Linked DNA regions of Caenorhabditis elegans. The protein of the gene in region 1 interacts with the protein of each later gene in a biochemical or structural test. Each region holds a gene or a part of one and is shown in the gene's direction. Other genes may lie near its edges.

Region 1 (5,895 bases):
AAATTCAAACAAATTTTTATTCTTTGGCGAACGTTGAGCAAAAAAGTTGATATCAAATTGCAACGTGGGAAGGATAAGCAATCATTGTGTATAAATTGGAAATTTTCAGGTTGTGGAAGCCTCTCTCGTCGAAGGAGATTCAATTGTTGCGAAAGAAGCATCAAGCTCAGAAGACTCAGTTTCTTACATTTCTCAAAAAGGTGGTACTGTACTTGTGGATAAATCAGGAGAAATTCTTTACAAGCACATTGAAGACGATAAATCAGATTCATGGCCAGATATTGATGAAATAGTAAAACTGGTTGAAGCAAGGGTATGCTTTTTTATTTTTAAAACTCTCTTAACAAACTTCTCCAGAACGCCAAATACTTGGAGAGCACTAATAATTCTACAATATCAATTCCGAAAGGTGGAAATCTGGCAAAAGTGAATTCGGAAATTTCTGTAACAAAGGAACTGGCGACGGACAAAAAGAAACCGTGTTGCGTAATTAGTTAAATATCTAGACTACATTTACATTAAAACCATACATGTTATCTTGGCTGATCTCATTATTAATTCATTATTTTAATATTAGATTATTTAACTATGAAATAACATAAACATTAATTTATTTTCAATTTGTTCCAATGTGGAACTTCCAAAAAAAAAACACTCGAATTTAATGTGGTTGTTATTTTACAGTGAAAAAAGATGTTCGGATGCTTTGATTTCTTTTGGTTGAAGATTTTCAGACTCGTTTATTAAACTTTTACTGTATTCTTGGAATAAAAAAGTTCAATTTATTTTCAATTTTCAATCAATTTAAAAATCTATCATCTGAAGAATAAAACACAACACTATTACATAGAAGTTTCAAGGCAAACCATATATGGCCATATGAATTTTTTTGATCGTTTCAATAGTTTTCTAAAAGTACAATAATCCACGGTAATCCTACAGTACCCTGGCCATATCCCGGAATATTTACGATTGCATCAGAGTAGCAACAAACGTGTGTATTGATTGATTTTTTATCGTATTGAAGGACATCTGCTGGTGGACCAGGTACCCGCCTATAAATGTCTAGAATTGGGTGAGTCTCACAATGACGTCCCTCGGGTCTCAATTGTACACAATCGATTGTTGAGTTGCGCTACTGTTTTCCTCTTGAAACTATAGTTAACTAAACGATTTTTATTGAAAGTGAGGTTTATTCTCGTTTAAAAAAAACAATATTTATTAAAGAATAAAATTTTGTAAAATCAAAAATGTGCGTTCCATCCACAGTCTCGTTCATTTATATACTTTTTTGTTGCTTAATTTATCTGCCCCTTCAAATTCTTATTGCTCTAAAAATATTCAAATTAAGTGGTGTCTGAAAATAGAATCATAAAGATACAATATTTAACACTCGTTCTTCCGAATTCAGTTTTCTACCGATGTTTCTCTCCTGCAAAAATGTGGTGTCTCGGTAGTGCAGCAAACGCGCTCCACTGCATGTTCATTGAGAGGCCGAAATGTCAGCGTCTTTGCAGCTGCATTGCTCCTTCGATTTTTCTATCTCTTGCGCGCGCGGTGCAAATGTCTTCCTACAGTTTTTGCTCTCGAAAATAATTTTATGTTTTCCTCTATACACAATTCTAGTCCAATATTGTTTTCATACAATCCTCTGCGTTTAATTTTTCCGTCTCATAAATGTTCCCATTACCGTAAAATATTTGTTATCAGACCTCTCACCATTCTCTTTATCGTTACTCTACTTATCAAAATCACGTGATCATCACGAATTTCCAGAAATCGTAGATGATTGAAGACGAGAAAGCAGGCTTGCAGCCGATGGACATAAGTGATGCTTCTGTGGTGCGTTTTTGCCTGACATTTTATATACTCATAGGCGATTAGTTCTTTTTTCAGGCAGATGTTGAAAGCAAAGACTTCCTCACAAGTCTCTTTGACTGTGAAGGTAAATCAGATGACAGAATGCTTCGTTACGCCGATGCGATAATCGATGTTCAAAATCTGAATTTTGATGTTTCTCCTCAGTGTCTGCAATCGAACATTGCCGAAATAATCACAAAGTTTGTACTTTTATCTCAAGATGGATCAAGAAGGGGGCTGTCAAGATCGTTCAATTTCATCGACCCTGATATCATTGCTGGATGTCGTGAAGAAGACGCCATCGAGTTTCTCTTAATCAATTTTGTTCGTTGCCATCATGAGCTTGGAAAGGTACTCTATCTAATATAGTTCTATTTTTAATTTAACAATTTTCAGAGCGGTACTTCAAATTGCTACAAGAAAACTCTCGAATCTACCAGGAAAGCAGTTTTCTCAGTTTTTGTGATGATACAGAGAGGCTACTTGGAGAGCCAACTTCGCAGCCAACATGCTAGTTTGGTGTTCACAAAAAGACTTCTGGAGGATACGGTGTCAAATGTTTTTCTAAGAACATTGGTTGAATACCTTGCAAGTACAGATGAATGCGATGAAGACGCTATTACAGAAACATTTAATCCAATTTTCGGGATTTTGCGGAGCGGAATTATTTGTCAACGCTTTGAAGACAATAAGGACGAAATTGTTCGTCAGATCCTTCGTGTGATGAACTTGCTTCTCAGTATCAGACTCCCTTCAAACGGACCTCGCCCACTGAGTAACCTACTTGTTAATCGAGAAGATTTTCTCCCAACGCCGTCCGAAAAAATACAAGGACGCGAGTTTGGTTTAATGTCCTTCCTAGGACCGTTCTTTTCGTACGGCCTCGAATCATCAGCAAGGCGTCCAAATCATCGAGTTTTTGTGGATTGTGAAGAAGATGCAAGAAAATATGATGGATCAGTCAACACTGAGCAGAAACTGTATTTCCAAAGAATGGATCCAATTCGAACTATGCTTCATCAATTGATGCTTCCGCTTGCTTCGGATCAAGGAAGTCGCAACAAAACTCTAAGATGGATTGCCACCATCATAAGCACCAATGACATTCGCACTCGTTCACATTATGATCCTTCAGATGTCTTGTGTGATCATTATATGACAAATTTTTTGTCCGTGATGTACATGTTTTCCGAGAAAATCGACTTGTCCAAAATTATCGTAGATTATCCGTTTTTACCGAGTTCGCTTATAAATATTTCCAAGGAGACTCGTCTCAAAATGGACGAATCAGGAGCAGTCGCTTTTGCTAGCCAATTCGGTAAGTTTCATTTTTCTTTCTCAAAAAATTAACTTGTTTTCTTTTTCCAGCAGATCGTCCAGATGAATATCATTTCTCTACAGTCTGCTTCTTCCTGACAATTGCAGCACAGAGGCTCGTTATTCCTCCATTGATGAATCAAATAAGTGAATACTCTCGACACCTTAAGGAGCTCAAGCATAAGATCAATGCGCTCAAAGAAAAACTAAATACTGTGTCAGGATTCGAGAGAGCTGAGGTGGAAAAGAAGTTGAACTATGAGACTGAACACTGGAAGCTCATGTCTCGTCATCTTTTATGTGTTAAGACACAAGCTCAAGATCCTGCATTAATGGCATCTTCTATGGATTTTGTCGATAAGCAGATGAAATTCATTTTGAATTTGCTTTGTGATAACTTGGATTTGCTCGGAGACGACAGTCAACTTCCAACTGAAGTATCACAAATGTTTTGTGCGCTCCCAGAATATTTTCTAGAGGATGCTCTCGATTTTTACATATTCGCTATTTCCAATGGAATGAAACTGCTCATGGAGAGAAATGCGGATTGGATTTCCCGTCTGACGGTCCTTTTCACACAATATCACTACATCAAAAGCCCATTTCTCGTTTCCAAACTGGTGAGAGTGCTGTCTTCTATTCAACCTCCATTATGGTTCAACGTGGTCAGACTTCGAATGGCACAAGAAAATTTATTGATGTGCATGATAAAGTTCTACTCGGATTTCGAAGACAATGGTGACTTTTATGAAAAGTTTAACGTTCGTGGAAATATCCAGTACATGTTGGAAAAAATGGAGGAAGATATGTTCTACAAAGGAAAGTTTATGGACATGGCAAGAGAATGCGGAGCAGAGTTCATTCGGTTTGTCAATATGGTGATTAACGATGCAACATGGTGTATAGATGAGAGCTTGTCTGGTTTGAAGAGTATCCATGATGTTGAGAAAAAGATGGCGAAGTAAGACTATTTCGAATGATAACTTAAAAATATAAATTTTATTTTCAGCAAAGTCGAATGGGACAACACAGATCAAGAAATCCGTAATCAGGATCTCGGCGTGTACGAGGAGGCAAAACGTAAAGTGAAGGGATGGCTTGGAACAGCCAAAAGTAATCTTAAATTGCTACTATCGATTACCGTAAACTCACCCGAACCTTTCCGTACTCCGGTTCTCGGCGAAAGACTTGCTGCAATGTTGAATCACAATTTATCGCAACTCATTGGTAGCAAGGCCTCCGAGTTGAAAGTCAAGGATCCAAGAAGTTATGGATGGGAACCACGGGAGTTTGTATCGTTGCTGATCTCAATCTATTTAAAGCTGAATATGCCTGCATTTGTTAAATACATAGCATACGACGAGGTTGGTTAACACATTTGTTTATTCAAAGAGATTTATTTTAATTATTTTTCAGCGTACCTACAGTCCTGAATTCTTCCATAATGCGATTGAATGCATGAGAAAGAATAGTATTGTTGGATTCAGTCAACTCGAAAGTTTCGAACATTTGGCCGAAGATGTTAAAAAAGAGTATGAGGCAAAAGCTGAGCTTGAAGAAGAGTATGATGATGTACCAGAAGAGTTCAAGGATCCTATTATGGATGCAATTATGGTTGATCCTGTCAAATTGCCATCAGGACACGTGATGGATCGTGCAGTCATCGAGAGGCATCTTCTCAGTACACCCAATAATCCGTTTAATCGTGCTCCCTTGTCGCACAATGAGCTTTCTCCCGATTCTGAGTTGAAGGCAAAGATTCAGGAATGGATTTGCCAGAAAAGAAATTCAAAGAAATAATTTTCTATCATATTCTATTGTTACCCAATTTTGTATTTATTGTACTTGACCATTGCACATGTGCAAAATGTCTGTAAATTTCACGCGTTCCTTTCATTTTATAAGTTTTTCTGGTCTCTCAATGGTCTAATCTTTCGGTTTCGGTTTCATTTTCTGCATGGATTCCTTAAAGTTGGTATTCTTGCCCTCTTTCATCAAACCTAAAAAACACGAGTAGTGCCTTGAATGTGAATAAATTTATACTAATTTACTTATTTTCTAAATTTTGGCTTCTATTGCGGTCTCCGATCCGCATACTTATATTTTTATTCTTTGTGAATTTCTTCACATATTCTGATTTTAGCCTTGAACCTGGAATGACTAAATTTCTGTAGGTTTATAACGAACGGTGTCGTATTGTTTTGTGATTTGTTACATGTCAATAACTTATAATATTTATACGTTCCCAGTCATCCCAAATCCGATTAATTTTTATTTTTGAAATATATTTACTGCTTTCAGTAGCTTGGTACATCTGGAACGTATTTGGTCGACGGCAATGTCTTTATTCGCGAGACAACTTCAATCCTTGACTGCCAGTGGAATCCGCACACAGCAAGTTCGTCTTGCGAGCACGGAAGTATCATTCCACACAAAGCCATGCAAACTTCATAAACTTGACAATGGACCAAACACCTCTGTCACCTTGAACAGAGAAGATGCTCTCAAGTACTACCGTGACATGCAGGTCATTCGTCGCATGGAGTCTGCTGCTGGAAACTTGTACAAGGAGAAGAAAATCCGCGGTTTCTGTCATCTCTACTCTGGTCAAGAAGCTTGTGCCGTCGGAATGAAGGCTGCAATGACAGAAGGAGATGCCGTCATCACTGCTTACCGTTGTCACGGATGGACCTGGCTTCTTGGAGCTACCGTAACCGA
Region 2 (4,318 bases), on another chromosome or scaffold:
AAGACGATGATTGTTTCGGTGAAAAATTCGAAAAATTTCGAACGAGTTCAAAGACCATAAATCACATATCCTATTGCATTTTTTTCGGTTTAAAGTTACTTTGAAGGCGCAAACGTTATCAAAAGACGAAGATTTTATGAAAAAATTTTAAAAATAAATAAAATAAAAATATTTTCGAAATTCAGCAAAAAATAATGATGCAAAAATAAACCATTCGCTACGAGACCCATCGAATTGCAATGACGCTTGCGCCTTTGAAGTAACTGTATGTTTCCCTTATTTTTTTTAATTCCAAATCCCTGTACTTTGACTATAAATTTTTGTTGTTTTCTTACTTTGCACATTTCTCAATTCCCGAAGTTATTTCGACATTTTTAATTGCTTTCCCTTTTTTAAATTTAAACATTCCCCCGGTTCTCACTTACAAAAGTGATATTCTGTTGATATTCTTGTTTCTCGTTTCATAATGCTGGTTGAATTATCCAAAAACTCAACTTATACTTCAGTTTTCAGTTGAAAATATTGTTTTCTTTACCCAAATCGAGAGATTTCAGGTTTAATATTCGAATTAACCGCTAAAATTTGCTTGTGTAGATTTACGCTAAACAAGGCTCCGGCGCAACATTGGAGTGACGTCGGCAAATTTCTTCAGCGAAATTTTTTTTAATGGAAATAGATGAATTTTCTTGTCAACTTGTTCGTTTTGCCCCAGATTTCCTTCTTTACGCTTTAAATGACTTATTTCAGCTAAAAAAAATGGCCCGCTACCTTCTCGGCGCCACAATGTACGTGGAAGACGTGCTTCGAAGAGACGATTGGAGTTTAGAAGAAACAGAAAATGTGAAAAAATACTTCAAAAATGTGAAAAGCTTCAAAATTCCGAAGATTGAGAAACGAAAAGCCGAGGAATTTGATGAGCCATGCAGAAAGAGAGTAAGAATTTATTTTTCAACAGTTTTTTTCTATTTTTTACATATTTTTCAGTCAATTTGCAGTGCCGAGTCGAGAAGGAGAAGTTCGAAAATGATTTGCAGGCTGGCATCCGATTAATGACACTATTTGCAGGATTTGAAGGTAGAAAATTGAATTTTTCATTCATTTCCATATTTATTTGGCTTAGAAATCGACGAAAAAGCGCTGGAAAGGCTCACAGATTTGGCAAAACTTCGAATAATCACATCAGCAAGACAGATGGCGATTGCTCAGCGGAGACGGAAAGATGGCTTCGAAATTCCTTTTAAAGTAATATAAAAATTTAAAATTGAAGATTTTCTACAAAAAATGACACGTTGTATAAATTATTTCTCAATTTTTTACCAAAAATTATATCAAAAATCGTTACAGAGCCCCGTGGAATGGACGTTGAAGCTACAAGGCGTTCAAAAAGTTCTCGACATCAAAGAATGGTATGACGTCACGTATTGGACGAGATTTCGCGCATTGAAGATGCAATTAATCGACGAAAACGGAGACTTGAAGTCGCCGAAAAACCAGAACTAATTCTAATTTCATGTGACATATTTATTAACTTATTTATTGATTTTCTTCTGTGAATTTTGCATAAAACTAGCCAATTTCTCTCGATTTCATTGTAAAATGTCGTATATTTTTTCGAGGTTGTGTTTAAGCCTTATTATATTTACGATACGATTTTTATGACTTTTTCAATTTCAGAACAATATTCTGCAGAATACTTTGACTTTTTTCAGCTCCAAAACATACCGAAATTCTTATTTCAAGCTGAAATTCTCGAAAACCTTTTGAATAAAGTCAATAAAACGTAGAATAAACAACACGCGGTGTCGTTATTTCGGAGCATCGTTGAGGTTTTTTAATTTCGTTTTTTTTTCGATTTCATCAAATTTCACATTTTTCGTAGGTTGTCAAACGAAATTGGTTATTTTTGTTGAAAAACAAGTTATAAATTGACGTAATTTTATTAAAATAAGTTTATCCTGTAAAAATTCTAACAATATATCCGATGGTTTTGCAGTTTTGTGCTGGAGTTCCATGGAAAACATTAGAAGTCGTGTTGTTTTTTTCGAAAAATAACAGCTTGTTAACAATTCTTCGCGAATTTTCCTATAAAATCTCAATTTTTTTTTTAAACCTATCCGTCTTACAAAAAATATCGATTTTGGCATTCAGCATGAGGAATATTATTGTGAAATCGAAAAAATAAAACTATTTCCAAGTTTTCTTCTCCAAAATTTGAGGTGTTTTATTTATTTTCTCCATTCGTTTCCCTAATCCAAATTTTTCCAGCTCCAAAAAATGTCAAAAGACGATCCGATCAACTCCATCTTCTTCGAGCACCAGGAAGCTGCTCTTTGTGCTCAACACGCGCTGAATATGCTCCTACAAGATGCTCTGTACAAGTGGCAAGATCTCCGAGACTTGGCCATTCAGATGGATAAAATGGAACAACAAATTCTGGGAAATGTAATGGAAAATACGAAAAAATTTTAATTGAAATTCTTGATTTTTCAGGCAAACCCAACTCCGGGACGAAGTGAGAACATGAACGAAAGCGGCTACTTTTCAATTCAAGTTTTGGAGAAAGCACTTGAAACATTTAGCCTCAAGCTCACAAATATCGAAAATCCTGCGATGGTGGACTATAAAAATAATCCCTTGTACGAGTTACCATATAATTTACAAAAAAATTTCATAATTTCCAATTCAGAACCGCCCGTGCTTACATATGCAACCTCAGAGAGCACTGGTTTGTGCTCCGAAAATTCGGAAATCAATGGTTCGAGCTGAATTCGGTGAACCGTGGGCCCAAATTGCTCTCTGACACTTATGTTAGCATGTTCTTGCATCAAGTGTCGTCGGAAGGTATAAATTCATGAATTTTGAAGCTAAATTTTGATAATTAGAGCCAGATTTTTATTTATCCCTAAACTACAAGCTGTAGCGTTGATTTTTTTTTCTGAAAAAAAGTTCCAAAAATCGAAAATTATTTTAATTTATCAATTTTCAGGTTATTCAATCTTCGTGGTGCAGGGAGTTTTGCCAAGATCCGATGCAGACGATCTCATCTCGCTATGCCCAGTTGTACCGCCAAAAGTTACACCGAAAAAGGAGCAGAAGCTGGAGAAAGTCATGACAAAATTCTTCAATACCGTCGGAAAACGACTTGGCGGTGGAAGCGGTGCTCCTCCGGATTCTCAAGAAGAAAAAGATTTGGCGATAGCTTTTGCAATGTCTATGGAAACAAAGGATGGCTCTGAAGTGTCTCGAAGTTCCGCTGAAATCGATGAAGAAAATCTCAGAAAGGCGATTGAGCTGAGCCAGGCTCCAGGACCATCAGAACCGGCTGAGATACCGCTATTGACTCGTTCTCGATCTTCGACGCCGCCAGGAGCTTCAGAACCTTTTTCAAATGCCGAACAACAGCGCAGAGATCGACAAAAGTTTTTGGAGCGATTCGAAAAGAAGAAAGAAGAGAGGAACGATGAAAAATAACGATTTAATCGTAAATTTATTATTTGAATTCTATTATGTGAATATATTCTCGGCTTTTCCTGTATAATTCGATTATTCATTTCTCCCGATACTTGTATCCCCAAATACTTGGTGCTTATGTATGAACCGCTTTCAGACTATGTGATATATTATTTAGAATTAGATGAAATCTCCTTTTTTTCTGAATTTTGTTGCCCTTTTCAAAGTTATTCTGGCATTCCATGAGTATTACTACCTTCAATTTTAGAGTTTTTGGAAAAAATAATCATTTTTTTTAGATTGAAAATGTTCGAGGAATTGGATGCAGAGGACGGCGGAGAAGAACAGGAAATGCCAATGAATGGTGATTTTTGAAAATTCAAGAAATTTTTCGAATTCGAGCTTAAGCTAGTGCTCCACGAGGAGTAGGATTTCCCAGTTTTTTTACTCAAAAGAAGAAAATGGCAATATCTTAAGCTATTTTAATACAAAATTTGATAAAAATTGAATTTTTTTGTTAATTTTCTGATCATTTTTTCCCGATTTTCTCTGAAAAAAAAAACTTTAAAAAATTATTTGATGGCACCCTTGAGCCGAAATAATAAAAATATTTTACAAAATCTAATAGTTCCAGAATTCGGCGGCGGCGGTGAGGACATTGACGATATTCTCGGCGATGCTCCGGATCTTCCAGACGACGAATACTCGAATAGTGTTCCACAAGGAGCCGCTGATGGATCCATTGAAAACGACGAAAGACGAATGAGAAATGATGGAGCCGGCTCAACGAACGAGGATGACGAAGAGCCGATCGAGCCAACTTATCTGGGCGACGCAATCGATTCGCTTATGATGCATTGGTGTCAGC
Region 3 (5,898 bases), 2.5 Mb from region 1:
TAGTACAGCAACAAGTTCTACAACAAGTACAACAACATTTGGGTCTACAACAGCAGCAGCATCTTGGTCTGCAGCAGCAACATCCACATCCACCACCACCTCCTCCACATCCACAACATCCACAACATCCTCCATTTCTTTTAACACGAGAAGATCCGATAATTGATGTTTCAGATGAAATTATAGATATTTCTGTTGTTGATACTGGCAAAACTCCTGATTCAACCTATAATAGTATTGTGTTTTCTAACATTTAGAACCTTTACCGATACCTGTGAAATAGCAATAAGGGCAAAGAGAGTCAGAAGTACGATCTTATTCATTTCAGATTATTAGCGTTCGATATGGTTTTCGAATTTCCATCCATTAAATACCCTCTTCTTCTTACGTGTTTGTCGTCTCTCATTTGACACTTTTGCCGGAAACCATTTTTTGTGATCTCTCCGCGCGAGCCGCGTCATGGAAATTGAACACAAAAACTAAGACACTTTGGATCATGGAAAAGTTATATAAAAGCACCATAAAATTGAGATATTCATCAGTTTCTATTCGATCAAAATGACCAAATTCATAATTGGATCTACATTAGTTGTACTGATTTATACAATTGTATCGATTTCACAGGTTAGATTAATAGATTTAGTTCTCGTATTTAAGAAACTTATAGGTTGAATCAGGAGTTTTGCCAGTATCAACAACAGAAATATCTATAATTTCATCTGAAACATCAATTATCGGATCTTCTCGTGTTAAAAGAAATGGAGGATGTTGTGGATGTTGTGGATGTGGAGGAGGTGGTGGTGGATGTGGATGTTGCTGTTGCAGACCAAGATGCTGCTGCTGTTGTAGACCCAAATGTTGTTGTACTTGTTGTAGAACTTGTTGCTGTACTAGATGTTGTACCTGCTGTAGACCATGCTGTTGTGGATGTGGTTGCGGATGCGGATGCTGTGGATGTGGAGGTGGAGGTCGTAAACGTCGTTCCCTTCAAAAACTTCAAATTGATGAAGCTAATCGTGCTCTTGGAATCAAAAGAAGACCATCCAATGGCAAATGTTAATCCATTAATCTATTTGTTTAATTTATTCTAATTCTCGATCGGGAATAAATAATTTGGAAATTATTCAACTTATTAAATTCATAGATCTGGGAAACTATCAAGAATCAAAATCTTAAGACTATTCTCCTCTCGTCTCGTTTCACATCTCTTCGTTCTCCGTCTATCGATCGGGTGATGCTGCAAATCATTTTTATCGATCTACAAAGTGCTGCATTTACTAACGGCATATCGTTTCGAGACCCAAACGCTGATGTGCGTTATTGCAAATAACAGTTATTTTTCCAAACCAGCATTACATTACAGTCCACTTTTTTTCCTTTTCATATTTTCATCCTGGACCCAGCTACATACATTACCGCAAACGTGCAAACGGTAGATTTTATTTACTAGTTCCTTTTTTCCGAAAAATTTCAAAAAATTGTAAACTGCGTTTCCGTTTTCAAAGAACTTTTTTGAAGTTTCAACGCTTTTCATCGCAAATATTTACAAATACGTCTCGTTATTTAGAAATTTTAAAATTTTTTGAACAGTGAAAATCCTTTTCAAACTTCGCGCTAAAATTATAAAGCAACCGCGCCCTAACGTCAGAATCACCAAACACTTTTTGCGTACACTTGTTGAAAACACGCTTCTATATGCGTGGATGATGACAATTTTCAAATCTGTGTCGTTTTTAGAAATAATTTCGTGAACTTTTTTAAAATCTCAATTTTCTTTTATAGTTTCGTTCCCACTATCATTTTGGACACTCATTCTTCTTATTTTAGGTCTTAAATTGTACATAATGGCCTCGGTTCCAACGCATCAAAGCGAAAAAGAGAAGAAAAATGATGAGCTGTCGACAGCTATTCTCAAGGACAAGGTAAAGCCGAATCGCTTGATCGTCGATCAGTCCGAGCAGGATGATAATTCCGTCATCGCAGTTTCCCAAGCTAAAATGGACGAACTGGGACTTTTCCGTGGAGATGCTGTCATCCTGAAGGTATGTGTTTCTTTTTAATTTTTGATTAAAACGCACAATTTAAGAACTTGTAATGTCTGTGATTTACAATATAGGCTGAAAAACGTTCTGTTTTGAAGCTAGTACTGTTTATTTGCTGATGGTTTTATGAGTGTCATAGTTGTGCGATATAGATCAAGTAACGAATCGTTTCAAAGTATTTCGTAATCCTAACACCACGCAAAGGTGCTGATCTCGATTTTTAAACGGTTGTCACACAATTAAATTTTATTTTTCGATTCTAATGATTATTTTTGCAGGGAAAGAAGCGAAAGGAATCTGTCGCCATCATTGTCTCTGATGAGTCCTGTCCAAACGAGAAAGTTCGCATGAACCGTGTTGTCCGCAACAATCTTCGTATTCGCCTCGGAGACGTCGTGAGCATTACGCCAGCTCCAAATCTCAGTTACGGAACCCGCATTCACGTGCTCCCTATTGATGACACTATCGAAGGACTCACTGGAAACTTGTTCGATGTTTTCCTCAAGCCATACTTCCTGGAGGCTTACCGCCCACTTCACAAGGGAGATATATTCACTGTTCAAGCTGCCATGAGAACTGTGGAATTCAAAGTTGTCGAAACTGAGCCAGCTCCAGCCTGCATTGTGTCACCTGATACCATGATTCACTACGAAGGAGATCCGATCAAGAGAGAAGAAGAAGAAGAGAGCATGAATGATATTGGTTATGATGACTTGGGAGGAGTTCGGAAGCAATTGGCTCAGATCAAGGAAATGGTTGAACTGCCACTTCGACATCCCCAACTTTTCAAGGCTATTGGTATCAAGCCACCACGTGGAATTCTTCTCTTCGGTCCACCTGGCACAGGAAAGACTCTTATTGCACGTGCTGTTGCTAATGAAACCGGATCTTTCTTCTTCCTTATCAACGGACCTGAAGTAATGTCAAAGATGTCTGGAGAATCCGAGTCAAATCTTCGTAAGGCTTTCGAAGAATGCGAGAAGAATCAACCAGCTATTCTGTTTATTGACGAAATTGACGCCATTGCACCAAAACGCGAGAAGACCAATGGAGAAGTTGAGCGCAGAATTGTTTCTCAATTGCTTACACTTATGGATGGAGTCAAGGTATGCTTTTAAATTTTATATGATTCGATAATAATAATTATTTTAGGGTCGTTCTAACCTTGTGGTCATTGCTGCAACAAATCGTCCAAACTCGATTGACGGTGCTCTTCGTCGCTTCGGAAGATTCGATCGTGAAATCGATATCGGAATTCCAGATGCAGTCGGCCGGCTTGAGATTCTGCGCATTCACACGAAAAACATGAAGCTCGCGGATGATGTTGATCTTGAACAAATTGCAAATGAATGTCACGGATTCGTTGGTGCCGATTTGGCATCGTTGTGCTCGGAAGCCGCTCTTCAACAGATTCGTGAAAAGATGGAGCTCATTGATCTCGAAGATGACCAAATTGATGCAGAGGTTCTTAATTCACTCGCTGTCACAATGGAAAACTTCCGTTTTGCTCAAGGAAAGTCTTCCCCATCCGCTCTCCGCGAGGCTGTTGTCGAAACTCCGAATACAACTTGGTCCGACATTGGAGGTCTTCAAAACGTCAAGCGCGAACTTCAAGAATTGGTTCAGTATCCAGTGGAACACCCAGAAAAATATCTCAAGTTTGGAATGCAGCCATCAAGAGGAGTTTTGTTCTATGGGCCACCAGGATGTGGTAAGACACTTCTTGCCAAGGCAATTGCCAACGAGTGTCAAGCCAATTTCATCTCCATCAAGGGTCCAGAATTGCTCACAATGTGGTTCGGAGAATCGGAAGCTAACGTCCGTGATGTCTTCGACAAGGCTCGTGCAGCTGCTCCTTGCGTGTTGTTCTTCGATGAGTTGGATTCGATTGCCAAGGCAAGAGGTGGAGGCGCCGGCGGTGATGGAGGAGGTGCATCGGATCGTGTAATCAATCAAGTGCTCACCGAAATGGATGGAATGAACGCGAAGAAAAATGTGTTCATCATCGGAGCTACAAACAGACCTGATATCATTGATCCAGCTGTTCTTCGTCCAGGTCGCCTTGATCAGCTTATCTACATCCCACTCCCAGACGAAGCTTCTCGGCACCAAATTTTGAAAGCTTCTCTTCGTAAAACCCCACTCTCCAAGGATCTTGACTTGACCTTCTTGGCCAAAAACACTGTTGGATTCTCTGGAGCCGATTTGACCGAAATTTGTCAGAGGTGAGTAATTTAATTATTTGAAAATTTGTTCAAAACGCACAACTTAAGAACTTGCGAAATCTACACATTCTTGGCTCTTCTTAGCTGCGTTTTGCAGTTCAGATTCTGCCAAGTTTTGTGTTCATGGTTACGCGAGTGTCATATTTGTGCTATATAAAAAATCGTCTCACAGTAAATTATAATAGTTAGAGTATCTAAAGTCGCGCTAAGGCCCCGATATTCTATTTTTCCTGGTGTGAACGATGACATTTTCAGAGCGTGTAAGCTGGCTATTCGCGAATCGATCGAAAAGGAAATTCGGATTGAGAAGGAACGTCAAGATCGCCAAGCTCGCGGTGAGGAGCTCATGGAAGACGATGCAGTTGATCCAGTACCAGAAATTACTCGTGCTCACTTCGAGGAAGCCATGAAGTTTGCCAGACGCTCTGTTACAGACAATGACATCAGAAAGTGAGTTTTGATAATGGTTTTATTGTATGTCTATAAAATATGTTTGTAGGTACGAAATGTTTGCACAAACATTGCAACAATCTCGTGGCTTTGGAAACAACTTCAAATTCCCAGGAGAACAACGCGGAAGCGATGCCCCATCTGCCCCTGTACCTGCTCAGGATGATGACGACCTTTATAACTAATGTATTGAGTTTATCTACTGAGTCTATGTATGATACTCGTTTTATTTTCTCCCATACCCACTTTTTCACCTCGTATTTCACCCCTTTCCAACCCCCGATTTACCACTATTTATTGTAATTGAGCCCATGTTTTCGCTTTAGAAATTAATGGTTACGGATGATCTTCGCGAGAAGAAAAAATTTGTAGATACCTACATCCCAGTTGATCAAAAAGTATATCCCATTTATTTTTTTGCATCCCTCCCAATGTTTTGTATGTATTGCCGTTTTTGACATATAAATGTACGATGTCTGTAATCATAATTGTGTACGATTGTGTTGCCATATTCAAACTATTATTTGTGATTGTGTAGGTGGAATTGTCTCATGACCAATGACTGGTTGTTCCGTTGATAATGGGAAGCTGTATTTAAGATAAGTTGCCTAAGTTTAACGTAATTTTTTGGACCAGGTTTTAATATCAATCATCAAACCTATTTAGCGATCCAGTTGTTCTTGATCTTTTGGAAAGTAGAAGTGCTTTTTCATTCATTGATATCATTTTCCATCGATATTGTCTCCACACTCATAGGAGTGCACGCATTTCGTACATAGTCATGAGGTTTTTAACAAAGAAAATGCCGAATTGAGTACTATAGTTGCTTATCTTCAAGCTTGTTGAACTCGTTTCTGGCCAATTTTCAAAAATTCCTTGTCCTCGTTGTCTGTCACATGAATCTTTTAGATCAGATATTAATATTGATAGTAACTGATAAGTGCCAATAGTTTTCAAATTCTTAAAAATATCTGAAAACACAAAATTTGCCGCAAATATGCACATTTTTGTAAGAAACACCGTCACGAACAAATTCACACTACAGTGCTTTTGTTTTTTTTTTCTAGAAAAATTGGTTTTTCATGCCTGAAAGTCGCATTTCTACTATTTATTTTCCATTACTTTAGTCGTATTTCTTCTCGTGAGACACAAAAAAACAGTCTTTTCACAACTGAACGGCA

What was found.
Region 2: the proteins of ufd-2 (region 1) and atx-3 form a complex in vitro, tested with the Caenorhabditis elegans proteins (one study listed by BioGRID).
Region 3: the proteins of ufd-2 (region 1) and cdc-48.1 form a complex in vitro, tested with the Caenorhabditis elegans proteins (one study listed by BioGRID).

The regions. Positions count from the first base shown.
Region 1 is NC_003280.10:8,060,967-8,066,861, forward strand, and holds ufd-2 (Ubiquitin conjugation factor E4 ufd-2), read left to right. Parts: upstream 1-1,774; 5' UTR 1,775-1,785; coding exon 1,786-1,842; intron 1,843-1,884; coding exon 1,885-2,211; intron 2,212-2,256; coding exon 2,257-3,178; intron 3,179-3,228; coding exon 3,229-4,138; intron 4,139-4,186; coding exon 4,187-4,541; intron 4,542-4,593; coding exon 4,594-4,977; 3' UTR 4,978-5,227; downstream 5,228-5,895. Other genes in the region: T05H10.8 (peroxiredoxin-like family protein), read left to right, coding at 110-313, 358-498; pdha-1 (Pyruvate dehydrogenase E1 component subunit alpha), read left to right, coding at 5,334-5,347, 5,479-5,895. UniProt on the Caenorhabditis elegans protein: Acts as an E4 ubiquitin ligase mediating the assembly of polyubiquitin chains on substrates ubiquitinated by another E3 ubiquitin ligase. The elongation of preexisting ubiquitin chains preferentially targets ubiquitin 'Lys-29' and 'Lys-48' residues.
Region 2 is NC_003283.11:15,574,835-15,579,152, reverse strand, and holds atx-3 (Ataxin-3 homolog), read left to right. Parts: upstream 1-1,709; 5' UTR 1,710-1,826; intron 1,827-2,265; 5' UTR 2,266-2,274; coding exon 2,275-2,442; intron 2,443-2,490; coding exon 2,491-2,636; intron 2,637-2,686; coding exon 2,687-2,841; intron 2,842-2,986; coding exon 2,987-3,471; 3' UTR 3,472-3,655; downstream 3,656-4,318. Other genes in the region: F28F8.7 (ELM2 domain-containing protein), read left to right, coding at 1-60; F28F8.9 (uncharacterized protein), read left to right, coding at 667-696, 748-933, 996-1,074, 1,121-1,242, 1,345-1,500; Coiled-coil domain-containing protein mdt-28, read left to right, coding at 3,757-3,814, 4,079-4,318. UniProt on the Caenorhabditis elegans protein: Acts as a chain editing deubiquitinating enzyme that binds and cleaves 'Lys-48'-linked polyubiquitin chains, with a preference for chains containing four or more ubiquitin molecules thereby modulating protein degradation by the ubiquitin-proteasome pathway.
Region 3 is NC_003280.10:10,559,337-10,565,234, reverse strand, and holds cdc-48.1 (Transitional endoplasmic reticulum ATPase homolog 1), read left to right. Parts: upstream 1-1,827; 5' UTR 1,828-1,844; coding exon 1,845-2,042; intron 2,043-2,170; exon of another isoform or gene 2,171-2,283; intron 2,284-2,320; coding exon 2,321-3,148; intron 3,149-3,194; coding exon 3,195-4,267; intron 4,268-4,300; exon of another isoform or gene 4,301-4,518; intron 4,519-4,522; coding exon 4,523-4,717; intron 4,718-4,766; coding exon 4,767-4,902; 3' UTR 4,903-5,204; downstream 5,205-5,898. Other genes in the region: C06A1.7 (uncharacterized protein), read right to left, coding at 1-226, 273-323; C06A1.6 (uncharacterized protein), read left to right, coding at 559-624, 668-1,060. UniProt on the Caenorhabditis elegans protein: ATP-dependent chaperone which probably uses the energy provided by ATP hydrolysis to generate mechanical force to unfold substrate proteins, disassemble protein complexes, and disaggregate protein aggregates.